Caenorhabditis elegans: one gene and its partner. The protein of the gene in region 1 interacts with the protein of each later gene in a pairwise test. Each region holds a gene or a part of one and is shown on either strand. Other genes may lie near its edges. The genes, in order: lin-13 and hpl-2.

Region 1 (5,113 bases):
ATTCGGGCCGCTCGAAAAACTTATTTCTATTAATATGTTCATATCCCAAATCTCCACGAATCTTGATATTTCTTTTCTTCTTTTGTTTGCTTGATGTGAAATCATCACTATCGGAATCAGAATCAGAAGAAGACGAAGATTGATTATCTTGTTCTAGAAGACTTTTCTGAAAATCTTCTTCACCAGAGGACTCTCCCGGTTCGTATGAAAATTCCTTCTCGTTACTATCAGTAATATTACGATTTTCCTTCTTAGTTTTTGCATGCTTCCACCGAAGTAGTTTTTTGCGGATAGTGTACTCATCTGGCTGAAATTTGAATATTTTAGAACTTGAAATGCTTCACTGCACTCTACCTCTACAAATTCACTTTTTTTGTTTTCTGATGCTTCAAGAGCTTGTACTTCTCCGCTAGTGAGTCCTCCGATCGCAGGAATACTCGATCCAAAACCGACATATGGCAAACGTCCAGAACTCGGTGGTGGTTGGTAAGTAGCCGACATTTGTAAATAGTTGGCGAACTGTGCGGTTTGAGTTGTATGTGATTGCGCGTGATGTCTAAAATTTGAAGAAATAAAGAAAAAAGTTTCGAAGCAATTAAAAATAAATATCTTTAAATTGTATTTGTTGTCTGAGTGTCTAAGACCAAAAATTTCATTAAAAAAACATTTTTGGAAAGTAACACTCTGCTTTTATAATTCGCTTCGCGTTTATATTCCACAGTTCTATAATCATCTTATCAATAATTTTCATAAGATTAACTTGAATAGTGGTTGAAACTTCATGAACTATTTTTTTCTAATGAAAACTCACTTCAACATAAACTCGGTTCCAAATGTTTTTCCGCATTTTATACAGGTATGATTAGCCTCGTGTTTTTCTTTGAAATGCTCTTCGATTTCAACAACAGAATGAAATTCTTCAATGTTACATTCAGAACAACTCAGCGGAAGTCCAATGTTTAGTTCAGACATCACTTGAAATTGAATTCGTATTCCTTTCCCTTCATCTTTCAACGGTTTTGGGAAGTAAGCAACGACCGGAACCAACGGTTGACAAGAATGGTTCATCTGTAAAAATAATTGTAATCAGAGAAAAAAATGTATAATCACTCATGACTCACCAATGCAGTTGCAAAATACGTCCATCCTTTCTTTCCTTCGCCTGATGGTTTTACCGACAGCCACAATCCGCACTGAGAACAGCAGAGGTACATGTACGCGGCTTCAAGATGTAAAGTTTGCTGTTTGAAAGTTAATTGACGCAGGTACTCCGCAAACTCTTTGCAATCGTGTTTAGTTAATTCATATCGAGACGGATAAACTCTGTAACAGATATCACATCCGAAAAGGTGAACCACGTCATGATGTCCTAGGTAGTGTTCAATAGTTTCACACATATTTAAGAACAATGGCTGATTTTCACAGCAATTTGGGCGAACAGTTGTCCCGCGCGCAATCGGACTTGGCTGGAAAACTTTTGATTTAGATAAATATCAACAACCGTAAATTTTACCGGATGACGCGGGTCCGTGACCGAGATTTCGGAAAGCGGCATCGGCATATTTTGAACAAAAAGTCTTGAATCGAACACATCCTTCCTTGCAGCATACTCCCAATCACGACGAAACGTTGGAGGCATTGCATTGTATACATGACGAATACTTTTCAATAGGATTTCGTCATGATCTTCATTATTTGCCCCAACGATACAAAGTTTATCGACAGTTTGCCTGAATTTTAAATTGAGAATCTGAACGTTGCTTTAGAAACTAACATTATCGAAAAAATCTGGTTATCACTGAGCCATGCACAAAACCGTCGAAATCCTCCAGAAGCCCTCCGTACAGCAGGTTGTGAATCTAGTCGGAATCCAATTACTCGTTCACCTTCTGCTCGCGCATCTTCTGCTAATGGGACAATCGTTTTAAACACATCTTCTTGTTTTGGAGGTCTTGAATATTGACTAGCATAGGTTGGTAAACCCGGAACTTGAAATTGACGGGATGCGCCTTTTGCATTAGGTTTCTTCTTTCGGCCAGAATTACCCTCATTTTCTTCCATATAATTTTCGTCCAGCTCATCTCGTGTTCTTTTCGGCTTTTTCCGGTTCCCTCGGCTTCCAAAATCGGTAACCAGTGACTGAGCTTGAGCTTCGTCACCTCGTTCAATACTCGCGTAGTTTACTGATCTACGGGGTCGGGAAGAGTGTCCAAATGTGGATAACGGAGCTTTCGATTCAAGAGGATCTCTGAAATATTCAATGTAAGTGTAAATATAATTCCTTTTTGATTTATGGTAATGAAAAAATAAAAATTTAACCAGGTATTTAGATTTCGTTCAGTTAAATGAAAACTCGGTGAAACTCAGTCTAAATTGAATTTAAAAAATTACCTGATGCAAGAAAAATGTGAGGCCCCACGAAAAGGGGAGCAGAACGAAAAGGGGATCTGCAAAAAGGGGATCTGCGAAAAGGGGAGATACGAAAAGGGGAGCTGGCACTGTGCCAAACGCACAAAACGCTTTTTTTATTCTCATTCAACGCACGCATTATTTGTGTATTTTACGCTAAACAACGCGCGATGCGTAATAACGGAGTGTGGTTATAACAAAGTCGTGCGTTGAATGAGAATAAAAAAGCGTTTTGTGCGTTTGGCACTGTGCCAGCTCCCCTTTTCGTTGCTCCCCTTTTCGTATCTCCCCTTTTCGTATCTCCCCTTTTCGCAGATCCCCTTTTTGCAGATCCCCTTTTCGTTCTGCTCCCCTTTTCGTGGGGCCTCAAAAATGTGAATTGCGAATGAGGAAAGTGCGCTCTAGTGGCACAAATTTAAATAAATTCGCACAAATTTAGCAATTTTAACAAATGTTTGACTGTGAATGCTTTCTAAGTGCATTTTTGAAAGTTTCCTTGAATAACTTAAACTTAACCTACTTTTTATATTCTTCTGATCCTCTCTTCCTCTTGACAGCAGGCTCTTTCATATCCTTTTGCATAAAATCAGCAAGCCGTTGTGCCTCCTCTTCTTCTCTCTGTTTGGCAGCTGCTATCTCATGACTGAGATCAGATAATCCTGTACGCAGTGGAGCGCTTTGATTGTTATTCGCTTGCTGAAACTTTCTCTGGGGTAATTTAAACAACTTGATTACTGATTCTCACCTCATCTGGAACTTCTGGCTCCTCCGTTTTAACGAGTGGGGCTGTTTGGTTGAGCTGTTGAAACAGCTCAAACTCATCCATAGTTGTTATTTGGAGAGCTGAAATTTTTTTTGAAAAAGGCAACAGAAAAAAATGAGAGAACTGAACGAAAAGAATGACTGGAGATAAGCTTTATCTCAAAAAAAAACTAAAATATCAATCTACATGAACTTCCAGTTTGAATCAAAGATAATTATTCAAGAATCTATCATATGTTCTCGAAATTAATTTACGCCTAACTTGCGTATTTTTAAACGTTTGTTCGGTTTTTTACGATGTATAGTGAATACCAGTAACTTAATTGTTTCAAATTTGCGCGTGAAATATACTGCAATTCGTTGGCTAACCTCACTACTATGATACAAATTTTATACGGGGCGCGGTTATGTGGGCGTGTCCGACCCATTGAACACACTTATAAGAACTCTTTAAAATGTTTAGGTTTTTTATTAGATAAGTTTATTTCATTGGAGGTCTAATGATTTCAAAAAACCGAACTCTGAACTTTCGTGAGCCCTTTCCCACTAATTACTGATCTCGACACGACTACACGCAGAATCAGCGCACATCCTGTCATACTTCAAACTCAATATATTTTAAAACCCCCGAAAAAATAATATTCTCATTTAAAAAAGCAAAATCCGGAAACGTGTTACGGAATCGACAAAAATTTTGAAACTGCGACAAAAATTTTTACCGATCTTTTGGCGCGCATTGGAATTGAGAATTTGAAGGCTGTGTCATATAGAAAGTACCGCAGAGCGTATATGCCACTCTGCGTCTCTCATATTTATTGGTCAGACGGACAAACGATGGTAGGAAGACTATGAGCAGCGGAGAGGGCGCAGAGAAACGAGACCTATTTCTTTGCCCTGCTGCAGTGTCTACTGCAACGGGGCTAGCAAGGACGAATCGATTGGAGAAAAAAGAAAAGTGAATGGGTTTTGCCCAAAGTGTTTGCGTACATTACGGCGCTATATTTGACGACAGTTTGAAATATTTAAAAATTTAGCTGTGCAACTACAGTAATCCACGGAAACAAATTCAAAAAGGACTGGGGTCTAAAACGGTCAGATGATTCAAAATAAAGAAGGGTATCTGTAAATGGATACTGTACACTGAAAATAATAAAATGTTCTGTCGCGTAAGTACAGACCCCAAAAATTAGGCAGAACTTTCGAAAACTGTGCAAACACACCAACCAGTTTTATTATCGTAATTTCGCAACAAATTTCACTCGTCAGTTTAAAGGCACACGTTGTTTTTCTGAGCGGGTCTCGCCACGATCACAGTCATAGTGATCGCTACAGGTGCCACATTTTTCAGATTTATTCATTTGAAAAAAGTACATTGTTAAATTCTATAGATTTGAACAGTATACAGCTCCGAAATTAGAAAACAGCTAAAGTGGAAATTCGAGCAAGCCCACATTTGAACCCAATGAGCAGGAAAAATAAAATAAAAGCAAGAAAACTTAAAGAAGCGCTCAGTCAAGAACTCTGCAACTATAGTGTGGTCTTGCAGCGATAATTTTACTGTACTCTAAACTATATTTATTTTCTCTAGAAAACAAAATAATATTCAAAAACACACTACACATTTTTCCGGTCCCGTGTGTGTTAATGTTCACCACGGCGCACAATTGCGGACACTTCGCGGCGGTCAATACAATTTTAGGCCACTGCAGGGAAGAGAGAAAGTGGGCGGCGGCAGCCCGCGTAAATAACCAGCCACACACGAAACGAGACTGAATAAATGAAAAACCGCGACGCAGCCGCTGTGCACGATTTCTCGTTTGGGATACCTTCAGAAAATTTACAAAAGTGAGGAACGGGTGGCGTGACCGCGACGCGACCGCAACGCAGAATCAATAACTCCAAAATAGGATTAAAGTTTAAAAATCAGTCAATAAATAACTTT
Region 2 (5,962 bases), 3.0 Mb from region 1:
GCTCCAACAAGCTCAGATGCTTCCAGTCACCGAAAAGGCCACCAAGGAGAAGCTCCAGACTCCGGTTAGCTTAAATCTCATGATGTTTTTATCTAAAATTTCAAATTTTCAGAAGCAATCGCCAATGCCAGGCACCCCGGAAAATACGTCGCTCCCACCGTCCTTGATTAAGAAGAAGAAGAAGGAGTCGACATCGAAACAAGCAGCGCTGGAAGCGTTCGTCACTGTGGACAAGCCACACGATTGAAGTTCTTCTGAGCCCCCGACCGCCTCTCGTGATTTTCCCCCGTTTTTAGGTCCTTCATTTTTTTTATGGAGCCCCATTTCCCCTTTTCTATGCTCATCGTTCCCCACAATTGTATTATTTATGACCTCGTATAGTCCCATTCTTTTTTCAAACTCCCCGTCCGTATTTATTTCCCCACACAATTTCACTTCTATTACTTTTCTCTGACAATAAATTTTTTTTTGTCAAATTTTGTTTCTCTTTCGACATCAAGGAACTTTCAGTTTAATGATTTAGTGGGTTACTGTAGCTCTTAAAGGCGCACTCATTTTTTACGGGCGAAATTCAGGTGTTTCTAGGAAGTCTGTTTGCCATCATATTTTATCAGATTTTTTTGGCCGAAAAATTTGTTAGTCGATGCACCATGAGTTTTGTTCTCGATGTTCTTCATTTTTGTGGGATTTTCTGCAAATGCAGAAAATTTGTCGATGCACCATGAGCTTCTCAGTGTTTCTAACATATTTTTTATATATATTTCTAAAGAGATTTTTGTTGTACTATCCATTATATAAAGATAATGTTCAAACTTTATATAAATCGGATTTTCGAAAAAAAAAAGAAACAGCGGAGATCAAATAATTTATGAGTTTCTTGGGAACAAGAGACTGTCATCATCGTCTGGTACAGTGTCGACAACGATCGGACACGGTGGCGGGCTATTCGAATTGTCATCGAAAACGGAGAGGATGGCCGCCTCGTGAACTTCTCCATCGCCAGAGTCTTCAAGGAAATCTTGTGGGAAGCTGGAAAGCAGATCTCCATTGGCCGCCATGTGCATATCATTGAGCATATCGGCCGCGGTTTGCTGAAACTGAAGAATGGTTTAAGGAAGCACGTGGAGTCATACAGTCCCTTTTCGCTTTGATCTACGAAAAATGCGGGAGAAGAGACGCAGACATCTTATCTGATTTTGCATGGTTAAGAGCGTTCTGACGTCACATTTTTTCTGGGAAACAATTCCCGCATTTTTTGTAGATCAAACTGCAATGAGACTTTCTGACACCACATGAGGAAGGCTATTTTTTTGGCGAAAAAATCCCGAAATTTACAATTTCTGACATTTTTTTATTTACTAGAGATCGATTTTTAAACGAATTTCAGGAATCTCTTTTACAAATCTATGTTTTCCTTTTTCTTTGAAAAATCGATACATAGTGTTCTGTAGTTCTTAAAGGCGCGGCCTCAAAAAATATTTCGTTCGTGGTAAGACCCCTACCGCTTCAGTCATCTCAACGTCCTGCGATATTTTCGATTCCTTCCTACGTTGCAGCTCGTGTTCTTCGGTTGTCTGGAATTAAAATAAAAATTTTGAAAAAAATTTCAAAAATTGTTTTTTATTCTAAAATTAAAAATACATAATTTTGTTCCAAAAAAAGTTTCTAAACTACTTTTTCCTTAAGAAGAATACCTAAAAGAATTCAAAATTCGCAAAAAATTAGTTTTTTCTCAAAGATTTAAAAACAGTATAGTTTTAAAAAAATTTCTCAAAAAAAATGTTTTCCCAAAAAAAAATTTTTTTTAATTAAAAAAAACATTTTTCGAGAGGTGTTCAAATTTTGGACCTTGTGTAGAGACTGTTTTTTGGAAACATTTCAGAGAAAACTTTTTTTTTTCATTTTTCTCAAAATTTTCTCCTTCTAAAACTTCAAATTTTCTCACAAGAATTCGATGTCCCGGTGGCATTTCAGGCCACTCATCATCTGCATCATCTTCCTCAATCGAACGCTTCTTCTTTCCCTCGGAAATCCGTTTGTGTCGTCTCTCCATCTTTTTCTTCAGAAATTCGCCGTAAGCGTCGACGAACGGGCGGTATCTGTATGGAAAATAGAATGTCGAATGTAATGTGTCTCAAGAAATTTTTATTGATTCAATAATATTTAGTCTCGATTTCAGGGGTTAGCACAAAAATTGGTATAGATTTTACAAGATAATTCAAAAAGAATATGGGAATGAGATGAGAGAACATGATATTGAACACGTGTATCGGGGTGGGGAGTGATTAAAGCTCGTCGGCTTTTGGGTCTTGGATTGTTAGCTTGGATTCGTAGTATCTGATAACTTGGCTCGGATAGCTGAAATTTAGAGCTTTTTTAAATGCCAAATTGAGGTTCGCTTCCTAGCTAAAAACTCTAGCGCCGATCGGGATTTCAGTTTTAAATACGCAGAATAGTCAGAAAAATTTTGAATGTTTGAATTACCGCGCCATGGTTTTTATCAATTTAAACGCAATTGTTCCGTTTTTCCTCGAATTTCTTAGTGAAAAAGTCCAATTTTTCATATTTTTCGTGGTATTTCGGTATTTCGGCACTTATGTGCAGTACAGCCGGCATATTTTAGAGTGAAATCCCCATCGACGCGTATCACGAGACCACAAGATTCTGAAAATGCGTATCGCGCAAAATATCTCGTAGCGAAAACTACAGTACAGTAAATACAGTAAATTCTGTAGTGCCTGTGTCGATTTACGGGCTCTATTTTCGAAATCATATTTTTTTGATTTACCGATAGAATATTAAAATTAAGCAAAAATGCCACTATTTGAACAAAAATCCATTTCAAAACTCGAGCCCGTAAATCGACACTACAGTAGTCATTTAAAGAATGACTGTAGTTTTCGCTACGAGATATTTTGCGCGTCAAATATGTTGCGCAATACGCATTCTCAGAATTTTGTGTTCCCGTAATATTTTTTTTCGGATACTTTTAAAGTTTTTGGGTGGAGTGTTTCCGTAATACACTTTTAATCAACCGGGAGCAATTCCCAAACTCACCGACTGTTCACCTCCTTCGCTGGAAGAAGCCGTGCCGTGTCATCACTGAATTTGCACAGAAAATGAAGTTCCCCAGGTCCCTTGGTGAGCCCGACAATGCATTTTAACTGCTTGCCTTCCAGTGAGAATTTGTCATTTTGATTCGTTTCCTTCTTTTCATCTTTATCCTCTTCTGGATCCGCTTGATCTTCGGAAGGTTCGGGCTTCTGGCTGTGTCGTTTGCGAATTGGTTTCTCTCTCTGTAAAAATAAAATAAGTTTGTTGCAGAAAAATCGGATTTTATGACTTTGTAATTTTAACTCTAAAAAACCTAATTTTAGTTAAAATCTTCAAGTTTACCAGCTTTTCCGTGTGAAAATAGGAGAATAATCGAACAAAAATCTAATTTAAACAGTTGCAGCACGGAAAAGTGGGCAAAATCGAAGATTTTTCAAACAATTTTCACTATGAAATTCGCTTTTTAGGACCATTTCAAGTAAAATAAACTTTAAAAAATTCTTCAAAACCTTTGAAAATTCCCTCTCAAACTCGTCCAACATCTCGACGCACTGGAGATTCTCTCTCGGCTCCCAGCTAGAGTCAGACTCGGGGAATCCTTGCCACTGTATGAGAAATTCGTCTCTGCCGGCTTTTCCAGTTCGCTTGTCCAGCACTTTTTCCACCATGAACACGTTGTCCTTCTGGAAATCAGATTTTTGAATAAAATGTGACTTTTTTTTTCTTTGTCGGGGAACTTATACTGTCGCTTTGTTTCTAGCAAAATTGGATTTTTTATGCAAAAATAGATTTTTTGTTGCAAAATTGTTTTTTTAAAATATTTTTTTTAGTGCAAAAATTGATTTATTGTTTTTTTGCAAAATGGACTGTTTTTTGGTTTTTTTTCGTTGCAAAATTGTATTTTTTAGTTTTTTTTGTTGTAAAAATAGATTTTTTGGTTTTTTCGCCGTTCCATACCGGATCTTCGATTTTTGCTCGCTTTGTTGATTTGCTCGACATTTTTGAAATTGCTGAAATAAATTTGAGCTAAAATGGGAGAAATCTGAAAAAACATAGAAAAAATATGGAATAAAGATTCGAACAATATCTTGAAATTAAAAAAAGGCTCGAACAAGAAAAAAAATCATATTTAGTTTACTCACAGACAATCACCGTACAGAAATATTTAAAAAAAAAATAAAAATTATCAATCTTTTTCAGCATCATCATCATCACTCTCAGAGTCATTTTCTCCACCTTCAAGCCCTTCCACATCCTCCATCATAATCTCCTGTTCCTCATCGCTCTTCTCCTCGGCTTCTGGAACATTTGAGTCGTTTTCAGGCTCCTCGGGCTCATCTTCGTGATCATGATGATGGTGATCGTCGCATTCGTGTGGTTTTTCATCATCGTCACTATCTTTTTCTTCTTCCTGTTTCTCGGCTTCTTGCTTCTGTTGTTGCTTCTTCCGTTTCAGGTAGGTTAGGAGCTCTGAAAATTTAAAAATTAATTTTTTTTTGCCACATTTTTCGAGCTACTATCTTGTGAATTTCGCAAGTTTTGGATTAAAAGCGCGGTTTGTTGCATGTAAATTTACGAAGGATTTTGTACTTCACCCGGACAACTGTGAGTTATTGGCTGAAATTTACTTTTTTGAACTATTTTCGCTGATTCTCTTCCAACATTCCAAATTACCAAAGAAATGAGTTTTCCAAAAAGCAGAAAAAGAGGCGGAACGTAATTTTGCAACCAATTTTGCAACCATGCGGCACGGTTTTCCTTTTTCTTTTTTGGGGTTTTTCCATAAAAGTTTCGATTTTATTCCTTTTAATTCACATTAGATTGGGAGGATATTTCAAGCTAAATTGGTTGTAAAAATATGAACTATAATCGAAATGTTATGCGAATTAAATTTGATTTTTTTCTCGTAAAAAAAAATAAAACAGGAAGAATCGAAGTTTTTTGGAAAAAAAAACCAGAAAAAAAACCAAAAAAAAAAACAGTGGAAAATTGTCGAAAAATCGTGCCGCAGAGTTGCGAAATTAGGCTCCTCCTCTCTTTCTAGTTATAATGTCTTATTATTGTCCAAAAAATGTGAAAAAAGATTCACGCTTGTCCACGTGCAGTATCCTCCGTAACATGTAAGTATCAAACTGCGCCGAAAAACCTTCCAAAACTTGCGAAAATCACGAATTAATCGTTCTATTTCAAACCTTTTGCGGTATTCATAATATTCTCAGTATTCTGCTGACATATTGGGCATTTTGACGACTTTTGGAACGATTTCAACGCACAACCGGTGCAAAAGTAGTGCTTGCATTTTGTCACGATCGGATCAACAAATGGATTTCCGCAAATAAAACAATCCTCCGGAAACGTATCGTCGCCTTCATGAATCTCGTAATTCGCATCGTCTTCAGCACCATATTTTCCTGCTTCGTACTCCTCATCAATCTCCCATCCGTGTTTATAGTCCGATCGGTCGTGCACAAATTTACACGAATCTCCAAACGTACAGAATCCAGTCTCCTTGTAATCCTTGCAAATATCCGGTGCAAAATCCCAACGGACTGTTTGTCGTAGAAATTGTGGCGCCCGAACGGGCCCAACTCGATTATAACCACTTGCAGCGTTTCCCTTGGCCGTATCCTTCGCCTCTTTGGCTCCATACAGTGCACTTCCCTTGTACAGAATTTTTCCGTCTTTCTCGACGCCTTCCTTCAGTTGCTGTTGGACTCGTTCGAATTGAGCCTGGGCATCGTGTGAATAGTCTGTGTCCACTTCGAGTGTTGCAGTGGCACCTTGATCACGTGGTCCAGATGGACCGGCATCTCCTGAAGCGGCGAACGAGTGAGTTGCTACTGCGATATCCTGATTGTCGTCAGAGTCGTCAGAATCATCCGATGAATTATCAGCACGTCGTGTTGAG

Evidence for each region.
Region 2: the proteins of lin-13 (region 1) and hpl-2 interact in a two-hybrid assay, tested with the Caenorhabditis elegans proteins (one study listed by BioGRID).

Annotation. Positions count from the first base shown.
Region 1 is NC_003281.10:7,706,238-7,711,350, forward strand, and holds the start of lin-13 (Zinc finger protein lin-13), read right to left. Parts: upstream 3,255-5,113; 5' UTR 3,236-3,254; coding exon 3,155-3,235; intron 3,112-3,154; coding exon 2,930-3,111; intron 2,249-2,929; coding exon 1,775-2,248; intron 1,731-1,774; coding exon 1,514-1,730; intron 1,467-1,513; coding exon 1,122-1,466; intron 1,069-1,121; coding exon 812-1,068; intron 775-811; exon of another isoform or gene 625-774; intron 557-624; coding exon 355-556; intron 308-354; coding exon 1-307. UniProt on the Caenorhabditis elegans protein: Involved in repression of vulval fate, possibly by a tumor suppressor protein Rb-mediated mechanism. May act in a common pathway with retinoblastoma-like protein homolog lin-35 and hpl-2 to influence the ER stress response in the intestine.
Region 2 is NC_003281.10:10,751,458-10,757,419, forward strand, and holds hpl-2 (Chromobox protein homolog hpl-2), read right to left. Parts: upstream 4,065-5,962; 5' UTR 4,054-4,064; coding exon 4,012-4,053; intron 3,738-4,011; coding exon 3,564-3,737; intron 3,297-3,563; coding exon 3,058-3,296; intron 2,359-3,057; coding exon of another isoform or gene 2,286-2,358; exon of another isoform or gene 2,134-2,285; intron 2,100-2,133; coding exon 1,946-2,099; intron 1,575-1,945; coding exon 1,503-1,574; intron 1,098-1,502; coding exon 867-1,097; 3' UTR 797-866; downstream 1-796. Other genes in the region: enu-3.6 (ENhancer of Uncoordination), read left to right, coding at 1-64, 113-247; rnf-113 (putative E3 ubiquitin-protein ligase rnf113), read right to left, coding at 4,241-4,524, 5,247-5,962. UniProt on the Caenorhabditis elegans protein: Seems to be involved in transcriptional silencing in heterochromatin-like complexes. Probably does not act as global transcriptional repressor, instead targeting a subset of genes. Involved in RNA processing mediated by Tar DNA-binding protein homolog tdp-1.